Linked DNA regions of Macaca fascicularis. The protein of the gene in region 3 interacts with the protein of the main gene of each other region in a pairwise test. Links are inferred from orthologs where the notes say so. Each region holds a gene or a part of one and is shown on either strand. Other genes may lie near its edges.

Evidence for each region.
Region 1: the proteins of KIF9 (region 3) and PRMT6 interact in a two-hybrid assay, tested with the Homo sapiens proteins (2 studies listed by BioGRID and IntAct). The link is inferred for Macaca fascicularis from reciprocal best matches to the Homo sapiens genes KIF9 and PRMT6.
Region 2: the proteins of KIF9 (region 3) and ZBTB8A interact in binary tests that used the Homo sapiens proteins (3 or more experiments, as listed by UniProt). The two-hybrid records come from large-scale screens. The link is inferred for Macaca fascicularis from reciprocal best matches to the Homo sapiens genes KIF9 and ZBTB8A.

Annotation. Positions count from the first base shown.
Region 1 is NC_088375.1:127,485,093-127,489,621, forward strand, and holds the start of PRMT6 (protein arginine N-methyltransferase 6), read right to left. Parts: upstream 3,056-4,529; 5' UTR 3,040-3,055; coding exon 1,912-3,039; 3' UTR 1,656-1,911; intron 1-1,655. UniProt on the Homo sapiens protein: Arginine methyltransferase that can catalyze the formation of both omega-N monomethylarginine (MMA) and asymmetrical dimethylarginine (aDMA), with a strong preference for the formation of aDMA.
Region 2 is NC_088375.1:202,482,040-202,486,274, forward strand, and holds the start of ZBTB8A (zinc finger and BTB domain-containing protein 8A), read right to left. Parts: upstream 3,002-4,235; 5' UTR 2,930-3,001; intron 2,702-2,929; exon of another isoform or gene 2,671-2,701; 5' UTR 2,570-2,670; intron 2,042-2,569; exon of another isoform or gene 1,687-2,041; intron 1-1,686. UniProt on the Homo sapiens protein: May be involved in transcriptional regulation.
Region 3 is NC_088376.1:110,178,626-110,182,383, forward strand, and holds part of KIF9 (kinesin-like protein KIF9), read right to left. Parts: intron 2,930-3,758; coding exon 2,764-2,929; coding exon of another isoform or gene 2,747-2,763; exon of another isoform or gene 2,667-2,746; intron 1,095-2,666; coding exon 988-1,094; intron 1-987. UniProt on the Homo sapiens protein: Essential for normal male fertility and for progressive motility of spermatozoa.

The DNA.
Region 1 (4,529 bases), on a different chromosome or scaffold from region 3:
TAGTTCCTCCAAGTTTTAACTGAGGTTCCCTTTATGTGCTTATACTGATAATGATAACTCTATAGTATTTATCAAATACATAAAAAATCGAATTTGGAAGAATGTTCTCATTTATCACTTAGTAAAGGAATTGTTAAATCAAGTTTTTAAAAAACAAACCAAACCACCAGAAACCTACTCAAAATCACACCCTAAAATTCTAAAGAAATGTTTGATTTAAAACATAGAACACCTTATAAGGAGCTATTTTTTCCCGCTAGCTTAACTCAAGTCTAGCTTGCTGTAATTGTAGCATTTACAGGAGATGATCACTATCTTAGCATCAAAATGGTGATGGTTATAACTGTACTGCTTGCTACTCAATTATCTTGTAAATTGATAATTTTGTACATGTATGTCTCTCCATGATGGAAGATCTTGTGTTACATACCACCAAAGTTTAGCAAATCAGTTTTTATACTCTAATACTTTAATATGCAATGAATAAAAGGGCAGAAAAATCAGAATTACAATAAATGTTAGGCTATTTCAGAACACCAGTTTTTCACACCTATTTTCTTAGCATACAGAAGCTCAAAAATCATACATTAAGCAGTTTGAATTGTCCTGAAGTTATATTCTGAATGGGCTGTAACACTTAAGAACTGGTAATATTAAAAAGGCAAAAGCATTATAACTCATAGACAGCACACAAGACTTCTTACTTCATCTATAAAACGTGAGAATGTCAATGTTTTATTAGCTACAAGGATAAGGAGGGAAACATCAGTGAAATAAATGTGATAACAAGATTCATACTTCATTATAAGTGATTTTCCTAAATTCACAACTTTCACATTTGGCTGCGTGAAAGAGAAAAAAAAGAAAAAAACTAAACTAAAAAAGGAACTTTCACTACTTGTAAGTAGGCCAACTCACATGATCCCTCCAAATGAGAGTTTAAATGAGAATGAGTACACTTTTCTAGCTGGGAAAATATTTTACTTAATTAAGTGAGTTTAAATAATTTACCCATGGTGATGAATAAGCCCTTGGGCTAGGCTCAGAAACCTCCTCTACCAGCCTGTTTCATAAGAATTACACTGATATTTTTATAGGACATACATGAAATATTTGTTTTTTGGTTGTAATAGTAGAGACAAGAATTTTGTAGTCCTCTACATAAGAATCCATACTATTTCTGTCTTTCAGGTCTTTCTCCTAAATGCACCTTCTGAGTTTCTTAGATACGCCGTACAATTACAAAGACCATTTTACTTAACGGATTAATGTGTTCATCAACTTTAGCACCCTATGTATGTGGTAAGAGTAATGAGAACAGGGCTATTTAAACTGCTTCCTCATATCCTTCCCCTTAATTACCAGTAGTGAAGTTTACTTAGAAAACAATGAGGAAGTCTCATAGCCTACAGGCACCTAGGGATGGGGAATTAATTCAGAGTGAGAAAATATGGCTCTGGAGAGATACTAAAGTCGTATTGGAAATGTATGAAGTCTAAAAGAACTCTTTCTCCTCAGCTTCAGACTTAGATAAGGTGTGAGGTGTCAGGAATGTGCATGGACCCTTCAAAAACTGACATTTTCATCTGTGTTCTTCTGCCTCCCTCCCCCACGAAACAAAATATATGGAAATACAAGTGCTTGGTACTACATGCCTTTGAGGCTTAAAAGCCCAATAATAAGCACGCTGTATCCGTTCTTGAGGGGGATAACTTTTTAAGTAAACATCACCAGAAGAATCTCTTCAAATGGAGAATGAACTCACTCTCCCTCCCTAGAGGCTATGCGGGAAAAGGGAGACAGATATTCCCCCTACTTGCACGTGGGATCTCCCTTTCTCCTCCGACCTCGCTACGTCTCTCCCACGCAGGTCAGGCTGCCTTGGGAGGTAGCTGGGAGAAAAGGCAACGCTCAGTCCTCCATGGCAAAGTCTTTGGTCTTCTCCTCCTGGTCTCCCACTTTGTAGCGCAGCAGCACGCGCAGGCGACGGGGGTTGTCCCGGGAGGGCAGCAGCGTGATCTCTCCTGAAACATCCGTGTCTTGCTCCACTTGCACTGGCTCGTTTAGGTAGAGAAGCGCCTGTTTCCAGTGCGTGGCGGGGTGAAAAGGCGAGGTGGACAGCACCAGGGGTTTCTCCGACTCCCCTCCAGGGAAGGTCACCTGGAACCAGATGGCAAAGCCATGCATGGGCGCCGAGCCATAGCAGCTGCAGCGGAAGCGCCCGCCCACTCCGGCCTCCAGCTCCTGCTCCAAGCCGGCGCGGGAGAGCTCTAGTTGCGCAAAGCGCTGTGGCCGGGCCAGCACGTCCTCGCCGGACAATCCCTGCACAACGATCTCCGAGTGGCCCATGAGGCAGCGCGTGGCGAAGCCCTCCAGGCAGCTCATGTCCACACCATAGTGCTGCTTCACCTGGCTCCAGAAGCCCAGGCGCCATTCCAGCATCTGGTCGCTGATGGGGGCTATGAAGAGCTCGGCGGAGGCCGGCAGGAGAAGACCGCCCTCCTTCAGCCACTTGGTTCGCGCGTGGAGGACGGAGCTCAGCATGGACTCGTGCAGGAGTCCGTAGCCCATCCATTCGCTCACGATGGCATCCACCTGTTCCGGCAACTCCACAGTCTCCACCGGTCCCGGCAGGACGTGCACCCGGTCCTCCAGCCCGTTGAACCTTACCACCTCCCGGGCCTGTTGCCAGATGGCGCTGGCCTCTACCGCGTACACGCGCCGGGCCCCGGCCTGGGCACAGAAGATACTCAGAATGCCGGTGCCCGCGCCCACGTCAAGTACCGTCTTGCCTCGCAGTGCTGCCCAGTTCCGCAGGATACCCAGGCGGTAGGCATCGGTGCGGACGCGGTCTGCGATCATCTCCTCGTGGACCGAAACGTCCGAGTAGCACTCATAGTACAGCTGGTCCCGCTCCCGCTTAGTCCTCCGGGGTCGCTCCAGGGCCGCCTCCCGCTCCGCGCCATCTTCCTCTTCAGCTCCCTCCCCTCCTTCGCCGCCGCCCCCCGACTCAAGCTTTCTTTTCTTGGGCTGCGACATCTTGGCCGCTCTGGCCGGCTCCCGGCGGGCGTAGCGCGGCACGGCGCGGGCTCCAGGAAACGGGGGCTTCTGGGACTTGTAGTGCGCGCTTGTCCTTCCTACTTCCTGCGGGGTCGCCTGGCCAGCAGCGCGGAAGGTCTTCCGTGCCTATCCACGGGAGCTGTTTTGTATTGCTCTTCTGGTGTCTTGGCATCCCTTTTGCCACCCACGACACCCACATTCTGAGATCCTTTCATTCCCCCTCCCACCCTTAGTTTCTCAGTTTTTTGCTTTCACTTCCTTCCTGAAGTAGACACGCCCACTTAAGACTAATAATCCACCTTTGTTTCTTCTGCTCAACTCACCTCTGGTGTTTGTTTGTTTGTTTTGGATACAGAGTTTCGCTCTTGTTGCCCAGGCTGGGAGTGCAGTGGCGCTATCTCGGCTCACCGCAACCTCCGCCTCCTGGGTTCAAGCGATTCTCTTGCTTCAGTCTGCCAAGTTGCTGGGATTACAGGCGCACGCCACCACGGCCGGCTATTTTTATATTTTTGGTAGAGACGGGGTTTCTCCCTGTTGGTCAGGCTGCTCTCGAACTCCCAACCTCAGGTGATCCACCCGCTTCGGCCTCCCAAAGTGTTGGGATTACAAGCGTGAGCCATCGCGCCGGCCTAACTCACCTCTGGTTTTATTCCACCAAATTAACATGGCGGCACCATACACACACTACCGTCTTAACTGGACAACTGTAGCTCTTGAAGTGCTCCAGATGTGGCAATTTAGAAATTGCACTACATATTTCTCTTTTCTGTTTTCAGTGGAGTTAGAGTGCAAATGTAACAAAATTAAAACCTAACAATGCAAAATATTGATTCTGATTCCAGTATGACCACTAATTAATTGAGTGATTTAGGGCAAGTAATAGAACTTCTCTGGCCTTCAGTTGCCCATTCACCCACCAGAGAATCTTCATTGCAGTTGGGGAAGAATAATGTTTCTGGTTCTACTTAGAGGAATAGTTACTCGGCTTTCGGCCCTGCTCTGATAATTCTGTGGCTCACTCAAGAGTTAAATCCAGAAAAGTGCAGACTCAAGAGCCGTCTGATACAAGCAAACTCGTTGCTAGGTGTATTCTATATATATATGCATTTTTTTTTTTCTCCCAGAAATAACGGAATCCCTTTCTTTCGATCACTTTCTCAATGCAACTCATTTTTTACTATGTTTCCTTGTCTGGGCAATATTGACATTCTCCTTTTTCTCTTCTATTTTTCTTGTAGTCAACCATCAGCTGTTACTCTCTTTTTGTTCATAATGGAAATAAAATATATTTTTAAATATGTGTGGCATTTAAATGAGTGTCTGCGTTATTAACAAGGTGAGTATAATGCCATTTTCTCCCAGCTTAAAAAAGGCACCCAGAGGAAAATAGACTTTTATTTTCTTGTGGTCTTGAATTATGTCCTTGTAACCAATGGGCCTGTATTCCTTGTCTGGGATCAAAGTTCTTT
Region 2 (4,235 bases), on a different chromosome or scaffold from region 3:
CTGCACTCCAGCCTGGGCGACAGAGCAAGACTCTGTCTCAAAAAAGAAAAAAAAAAAAAAAAAAACAACTCATCCCTATTGCAACAGTATCACCTTTAGGAGGTGATTGGGCCACGAAGGCTCCGCCCTCATGGATGGAATTAACGCCCTTATAAAAGGACCTGACGGAGTGAGTTTGGCCCCTCTTGCCCTTCTATCCCTTCTGCCACGTGAAGACACAGCAGTCCTCCCATCCAGAGGATGCAGCAACGCGGTGCCATCTTGGAAGCAAAGAGCAGCCCTCACTAGGCACCAAACTGCCTGGACTTCCCAGCCTCCAGAAGTGTGAGAAATAAATTTCTGTTCTGTGTAATTACCCAGTCCCAAAGTATTTTTATAGCTGCACAAATGGCATGAGACAGAAAAGATTTAGAATAAAAACACTTAAGAGAATCAAAACTATAGTTGGGGAAAGCCTCATTGAGAAGATGGTATTTGGGTAAAGTCCAAAGGAAGTAAGAGTCATGTGGGTGTCTGGGGAAACAGTATTTCAGGCAAAGGGAAAAGCAAGCGCAAAGGCCCTGAGGTGAGCAGCGGGGAAGCAATGGGATATGAAGTCAGAAAGGGAAAGCAAATCATGAGAGAAGTAGGACATAGTGAGACCAGATGCTGTAAGGCTGCATAGACTATTATGGAGCTTTTGGCTTTTAAACTGCGTAAGATGGGGAACCACTGACCAATTTTGAGCACAAAAGTAACAAAAGCTTCATTCAAGGGAATCAAACACATCAAATCCTTTAAATATGATTAACATATCATTGTGTCACTGAGTTAAATCTATTAGACATAGTTGTATCTAAAAATTATATTTAAATGATACAGGATGAATCAATATTACTCTATCTTACAAAGTTTTTCATGGCCTCAAATCATTATCAACAGCAAAGCTGGTGATTTCAGGGCTTGGAGATAAGGGTTAGTGGCTTGGCCTCCTTCCTGGAGTCCCTACTCATTATGCCTCCTGCTGACATTTTTGAGCACAATCCACCCAGACACCCATTTGGTCAAGGGCCCTAAGCCAGATTCTCACTTCCCAGTTGCCACTTGTGTGGCCAGAGAGGTTCCCAGGAATAAAGACATCTGATCCCTGCTTATCAGTGAGGGGCTCTTGCTCCAGTCCACAAATGCATCCATACCTGAGGCATGGAGGAGATTAAGACTGGAGCAGAAGCTTGCTGGGGATTTTGGAGGCTTTCCTGAAAAAGATCAGTTAAGGTTTTCAGTGCAGGGAAGCGCTGTGTAAGATTGGCCCTTCTAAAGACTCCTCTGGAGGTACCTTAGGAGGGAAGGCAGGACGGGAACAGGAGGTCCTGGGTGGCTATGTCACCCTGGCCTAGAGGTGAAACGCCATGCTTCACACGTGTTCCCTCATTTGCAAAGTGGAATTACCGTCAGCCTAAGTGGTTGTTTTATGTGAAATTAAGTGAAATAATTCATATAGGTGAAAGCAATCCATTTAAAGTTGTGCAAATATAAAGGTTTATCAAGCATAGTGATACTGACGTGTGGTTAGAAGCCCACCAGGTGTGTGTGTAAATCTACCGCTTCCAAACGCGTCTCAGAATGATGTGGAGTAGGGCCATTGGAACAATCAGCGATAAATAAGCGCATCTGAAGGGGAAGGGAACAAGCCGCTGACTAACTCACAAAAGAGGCGGTCAGCATGGGTAGAGATGAGCATGTACGGTTCCGTCCAGAAGCAAATAGTTGGAGCTCAACATTGGTTAGGCGCGGTGAGTTAGCCCTCGGTTTTCTAAGCCCCGATGTCGCATCTTGACATAAAACCAAGGATGGAGGCTGTACCGAGAAATTCGGGCTACTGCCCTGGGAGCCAGGCTCACCGGCAGCGCCCCTGGCCGCGCCCGCAGAGGCTCCGGCTCCGGCCCCGGCCCTGCCCTCCTCGCGCGCCCCCCCGGCGGCCGCCCGTTTTTGCGCCGCGCAGCCCGAGCCCCTCCGGAGTCCGCGGCGCTCGACGGCTCCAGACACGCCCGGCGCCGTCCCCGCCGCCTTCCCGCCGCCGCCGCCAGGAGGCTCCGCGCGCCTTCCCGCCTTTCCCCGGGCCGGGCCGGGCGGCTAGGCGGGCGCGGGCGGCGACGGCGCGGCCATTGTCCCGCAGCCCCTCCCGGGCGCGCAGGAGGGGCCGGCCTGGCGGGCTGGGCGGCGCGGCCGGGCGCGGGGAGGGGCGGCCGGGAGCCGGTGCCCACCAACGCCCGCCGCCGCCCCGGGCTCGGCCCGCCGCCGCCGCCCGCGCGTCCTCCGTGGCCGCCCACAGCCCCTCGGAGCCGGCGCCGCCGCCGCCGCCGCCGCTGCGCCCCGGGCTGCAAATGGCGCCCGCTCGCCTCGGCGCCTCCCGCCGCGCTCCCGGCCCGGGGACGTCTTGGGGAGGCGCGCCCAGGGCCCGCATCTCAGCACCGCCGCCGCCCGGGCCGTGAGAGCCCGCGGCGCCTCCGCCCGCGGCCAGGCTCGCGGCGGGTCCCGGGCAGCCCCGACGCCCGCCCGCCCTCCGCCGGCGCCGCGCGCCGCCACTTACCGCGGGCCGCGGCGCACCGGCCGGTCGCGCGCGCGGGCCGGGGGAAGATTCTTGGTTCTCGGCTGGGGAAGGACCCCCTTTCGAGGCCGTTCCTTTGCGCCCTAAAACAAGTAGCCCCAACGTGAGAGAAACAAAAGGTATTTGCTGACGTGGGCGTTGGACAGAAACGCCCGAGGGCTGGGGACACAATTAAAGGGGCAACGCACAGATTTCAGGCACCAACCAGCAGCTTCGCCCACTCCCCCTGCCCTTGCCCACACCCGCTGCACGCTCCAGAGGCACCGGGGTGCCCAGATTCTCTAGCAGTTGACTGCGGATCATGATTTTAGTCAGGAGCTGAAATTTAAAATTGTACTTTACGTTGGGAAAGGCGCCTCCGGAGGGCAGAAGGGCTGGATTTCTAGGATCTGGGGAATTTGGTTTAGGAAAGAGGGAGGGACTTAGGCGTGCCCACAATTACTGTATAAGTACATGTGACATTATTGTACTTAAGTTTAGCAACGTCAAATGCAAAAGATTTCCACAGAATTTTCCCTTGTATTGAAGCAGTTATTTTAGTTGAGGATAACCTTTTCTAAACCTCTACAGGTCAGAAGCATTTCATTTGAAGAGGAAAACCCAGAGAAGCTAAGAGAACATAATTCCTAGTTTAAGTCCAGAGAAATACAAAATTAGTAAAAACAGCAAGTTCCGTCTTTTCCAATACAAGCATTCATTGTATACCAAGCTTCCTCTGACAAATTTACATCTCTAATATTTAGAGTACAGATATCAGATTATACATTTGCTAAAATAGTAAATCAGTGGATTTTCACTGTTACTATAGAAGCATTACTTCTATAAATTAGTTTCCTAGTTCCTTATGCTGGGGTCAGGTACTGAAAAGTACTGTGTTATAGTAAAACTGGAGGAAAAAGGTTCAAATTATCAAAACTTGGGTTTAGCTTTTAATGGATTCCTCTCCTGTTCATAATCAGTCATATTGGACAGTCTGTAACTTTGATTTCAGGAATAATTATGCATTTTGAGGATGCAAGATCTTCACAATTGTCTCTTAATGTCACTTCTGTGTCACTGCAGAGGTGCTTTGCTATTTAGTTGTGTTTCCTTGCCTTCTGAACAGGTAAGTAGAAACATATTTGAAAACCATTAGGTATCAGGTATATTGGATGTACTCAGATTACTCTGCTAGCGCCCCCCATTGAGAATTCCCCCAGAAAGACCTGGACATGGTTATAGCCAAAGGTTTGATTTTAGCCTTAATTAAAGATTAATGCAAAAGAGTTCCACAAACTTATTCCTCAAGAGAGCACATCAGGTTGGTGATAAACTCTTCGTTGTGGCCGGGCGCGGTGGCTCTCGCCTGTAATCTCAGCACTTTGGTAGGCCAAGGCAGGCGGATCACGAGGTCAGGAGTTCGAGACCAGCCTGGCCAACATGGTGCAACCCTGTTTCTACTAAATATAAAAAGTAGCTGGGCATAGTGGTGCGTGCCTGTAATCCGAGCTACTGGGGCAGCTGAACCAGGAGAATGGCTTGAATCCAGGAGGTGGAGGTTGCAGTGAGCCGAGATCGTGCCACCGCACTCCAGCATGGGTGACAGAGCAAGACTCCATCTCAAACAAACAAACAAACAAACAAAAAACTTTGTTGCAAGGAAGAGGTA
Region 3 (3,758 bases):
ACTGGATTTCAAAGACTTAGTATGAGAAAAAGAATGTAAACTATCTCAATAAGTTTATATTGATTACATGCAGAAATATTTTAAATATATTTAGTTAAATAAAATATATCATTACAATTAATTTAATCTGTTTATTTTTACTTTTTTAAATGTGGTTACTGGAAAACTCAAATTTGCATGTGACTTACAGTATATTTCTATTAGAGGCATTGGGCTAGATTACTAAAGTCTAAGATGCTGAGATACTAAAGCTTTGACAGTGGGATATTAAGGATATTGCTCCAAAAACAGGAACATGGATGGTTCACATACTAGAGGAATGTCTACACTTCTTATAGGACCGGGCTGCAAAAGTGTTATAGGACAGGGCTGTAAAGCCACCAAGATGTTTTCGGGGAAAGTCTTTTGCCTCCTACCTCCAACCAGAGGGTTCTTACAGAACCCAGGCTAGTGGGGCCCAAAGGAAGGCCCTTCTGTCCTATCTTCAGTTATGCTATTGAGACCCCCAGGGCTGACACAGTCCTGAAAGCTCAGGTCATGCCCTGCTTTTTGCTTTTGATCTTTCAGGGTCTGTGGTGGTGAAAAAAAAGCCAGAGTAGGCCAGTAAGGAAGCTCTGCAAGGGTCCATATGCCCCTCATTAAAACCAGGAAGGAGAACGATTAGGACCTCCAAATCCTTAATTACAGGATCACAGACCATTGGAGCAGCAAGAGGCTGATTAGCATGCCTGACTCCCTCCTTCCCAAATGAGGAAACAGGCTCAGTGCGGGTATGGGTCAGAGTCTGACACCCAACCTCCTGGTTTCCTGAGGCCCCTGAGTCTACTGACTCCAGAGCCCTGTGTATGTTTTCTCCAGTACCAGTACCCACTGCAACTCCTTTGAGGCCTGGTCCCCCCTGTCTCTAGTAGCTGGCCTGGGGTCAGTAACATCTATGGCAGAGAGAGGGAACCTGTGTGGCATCCCACCCTTGGGCCCACTCTCTACCTGCTGCAGGGCACGAGGGAGGATCCCCCGGTGCTTGTAATTCTCAGTTGCCCCCGTCATGGTGTATGTCTTGCCAGCTCCCGTCTGCCCATAACACATGATGGTGCCTGCAAACATTTCAAAACACGGTGACATCCAGGAAAATAGCTCCAAGGATACTCTCCCCTCCCCCAGCATGCCTAATGCCAGCCAGGGCCCTTCGCATAAAGATGGCCAGTGGGAGCAGCCAAGAACATCAGGAATTCCACCATGGAAGAGGATGGGTGGGCAGGGGAGCAGGGACAAAAGTGGTCAAAACAAGGACATCTGCCCTGAATCTGTGGTCCCCACAATGCTTTGCTGTTCCCTCCACCAAGAGATGATCCTGCCCTAGGGCTTCTGAGAAGGACAGGGAATCTCAGGGTACAGAGGAACTGGAACTTTTCCTAAAAAGATGAGGAGGGAGATAGGAGCATTAGACTCCAAGCCTTCTCTAGCATAGCTATGAACTGCCAGGGTCTCAGGGTTGGCAGGAGGCATCAACTTCCCACAGAGGCAAAGAGGGGCTTTCAAAATCTCCAGGAAGAGATGGAGTGGAAAGCGCATTTTCTGTCAAGGGTGAGAATTCTTTGTAGACTACAAATTCCCGCAGGATCAAACAGGGCTCCTAGTTGGTTCCATGTCACTTCCAGAAACGTACCGCCATGAGCAGGCCCTGATCTGGACCACTGCCCCCACTGGGAAGACTTTCATTGCACTTCTCAACATCCTTTAGGTCTACCATCACCACCAGGCTCTGGAACGCAAACCATGCAGTCACCCTGAGCTCAAGTTCCTATCTGTTCTTCCCCTTAGCATAGGCAGCCTGAGCCAGACCCCATCCCACAGACTGCCCATGGGCATTTACATGGCAGATCTGCCCAGGCAATGCTGGGCTGTGGAAATTTTTTGCCTTTGTCACACAGACGCTCTAGTTCTTGGGACTGGTAGCAGGTTTTACACAAGGGACCCTGATTCAGCATCTGAGTTGGAGCCAGAAATGGTATCTATTAACCCAGCACAGATGAATGGGAAGGAGGCACTTCAGCTGCAACTCAGAGCCCATCTGTGGTTCCACAGCACCTCTGCTCAAGACTATTCATCTCCCTGGGCCTTAGTTCCTCCGTCTTCACCTCCTCAAGGTCACAATCCCTTCAGAGCATCGTGAAAACCAAAAGAGAACCTCCTTAAGTCTGGGGACCACATCTAAGTATCAGATTCAGTATAAATTACAGCATCTACACTCAACACACTTTTAAATATAAAACCTAAACTTGCAAAACAGGGAACATCCTACTCAGCAGCCACCAGATGGCAAAGTCTACAAACTGTGATATATTCTTTTATATATTCCTAGAATATCAACTGTACATTAATTGTGTTGGTAGAATAAATGAAAATAGCTCCTAGCAGGAAGCTGAGAGACAAATGTTTGGACTCCATCAAATTCATCATAAAGATGCATCTTCAAAACTAATATTTGAGAGATTTGAAACAGGATAATAATTGAACCCCTGTGACCTATAGACAGCTACAATCTTTTAATTTTCCTATGAAGGTAGAATCCCAGGACATTGGATCAAGCCATGCCCACAATGTCAACAAGCAAACAGTAAGTTTTGCAACGTAAGAACATGGAGACAGACAAATAAGCATACAAATGATAGTAAGTGAGGTTTTATTTTATTCACCATAAAATATTTGCATCTCTTACTCTTCAGGTTCTTATATAAGACAACAGTTAATTAATTAAGTTACCATTATAGCCATTGAGGGCCTGAGAAACCACATCCTTTGCAACTGTCTCATAAACCAAGTCCTGGGAGGCATCGTGAAGAACTCCATCCAACTTGAACGACCAGTCTATCTGTTGGTTATTGACAACTCCTCTCCGAATGTCTTTTTTTAAGTGAATATCGATGCTCTAGGAAAAAAGAGTGAGAAAGAAAAAAATGTTATTTGTTCAAAAACAGGTATTAAAAAAATCACTGATAGCTGAGGCCTAATTTGGAGGGAACAGAGGAAGTGAACTGTAGGATGAACAGGGACTCCCACGTAGGGGCTGATATTCCAGATGAATTCTTTGGGATGGGAGAAGAGAGCTCCTGCAGGGAGGTGGAAAGATCAGGAGACTGGAGCACTTCCTAGTTTTAGCACCTCTAACCCTAGTTCATAGGGTGCTGTCTGTCTTGGTTTCTCCACCTATGATATGAAGTCAAATTTATCATGTTCTTATTAAACAAGTTTTACATAGATTCCATAAGCACAGGGAGGCCTTCAATTACGCCAGAGGGAATAGTGAGCCTGGCGACAGAGGCCTGGGCTCCAGCCCCATTGCTCTGGTTGCTGGCAGTGAGGCCTCTCTCAGCTCTGCATTATGGTGAACACCTACTTCCACACACATGCTATGAGCCAAAGTGAGTGATAATGAAATGAAAGCCACAGAGAAGGCTATGGACTTCTCAGACATTGGAATTAAGAGTAAATTGAGGGTGCCATCAGCAGATTTTTAGATGCATGCCCCTTCATAGTAAGCCATTGTGGTAGCAGCTGGGTTAGGGACATACCGGGTAAGGTCAATGGTATGTCTTCTTGATGAGAACTTCTGATGTAAAGACTCTTGCTGAAATCTTACACTGACTGCCCTAACGCAGAAGCTATACCTGGCTACAGAGAGAAAAATTAAGATCAAGAAAGACAGACTTGGCCAGGCGCGGTGGCTCATGCCTGTAATCCCAGCACTTTGGGAGGCC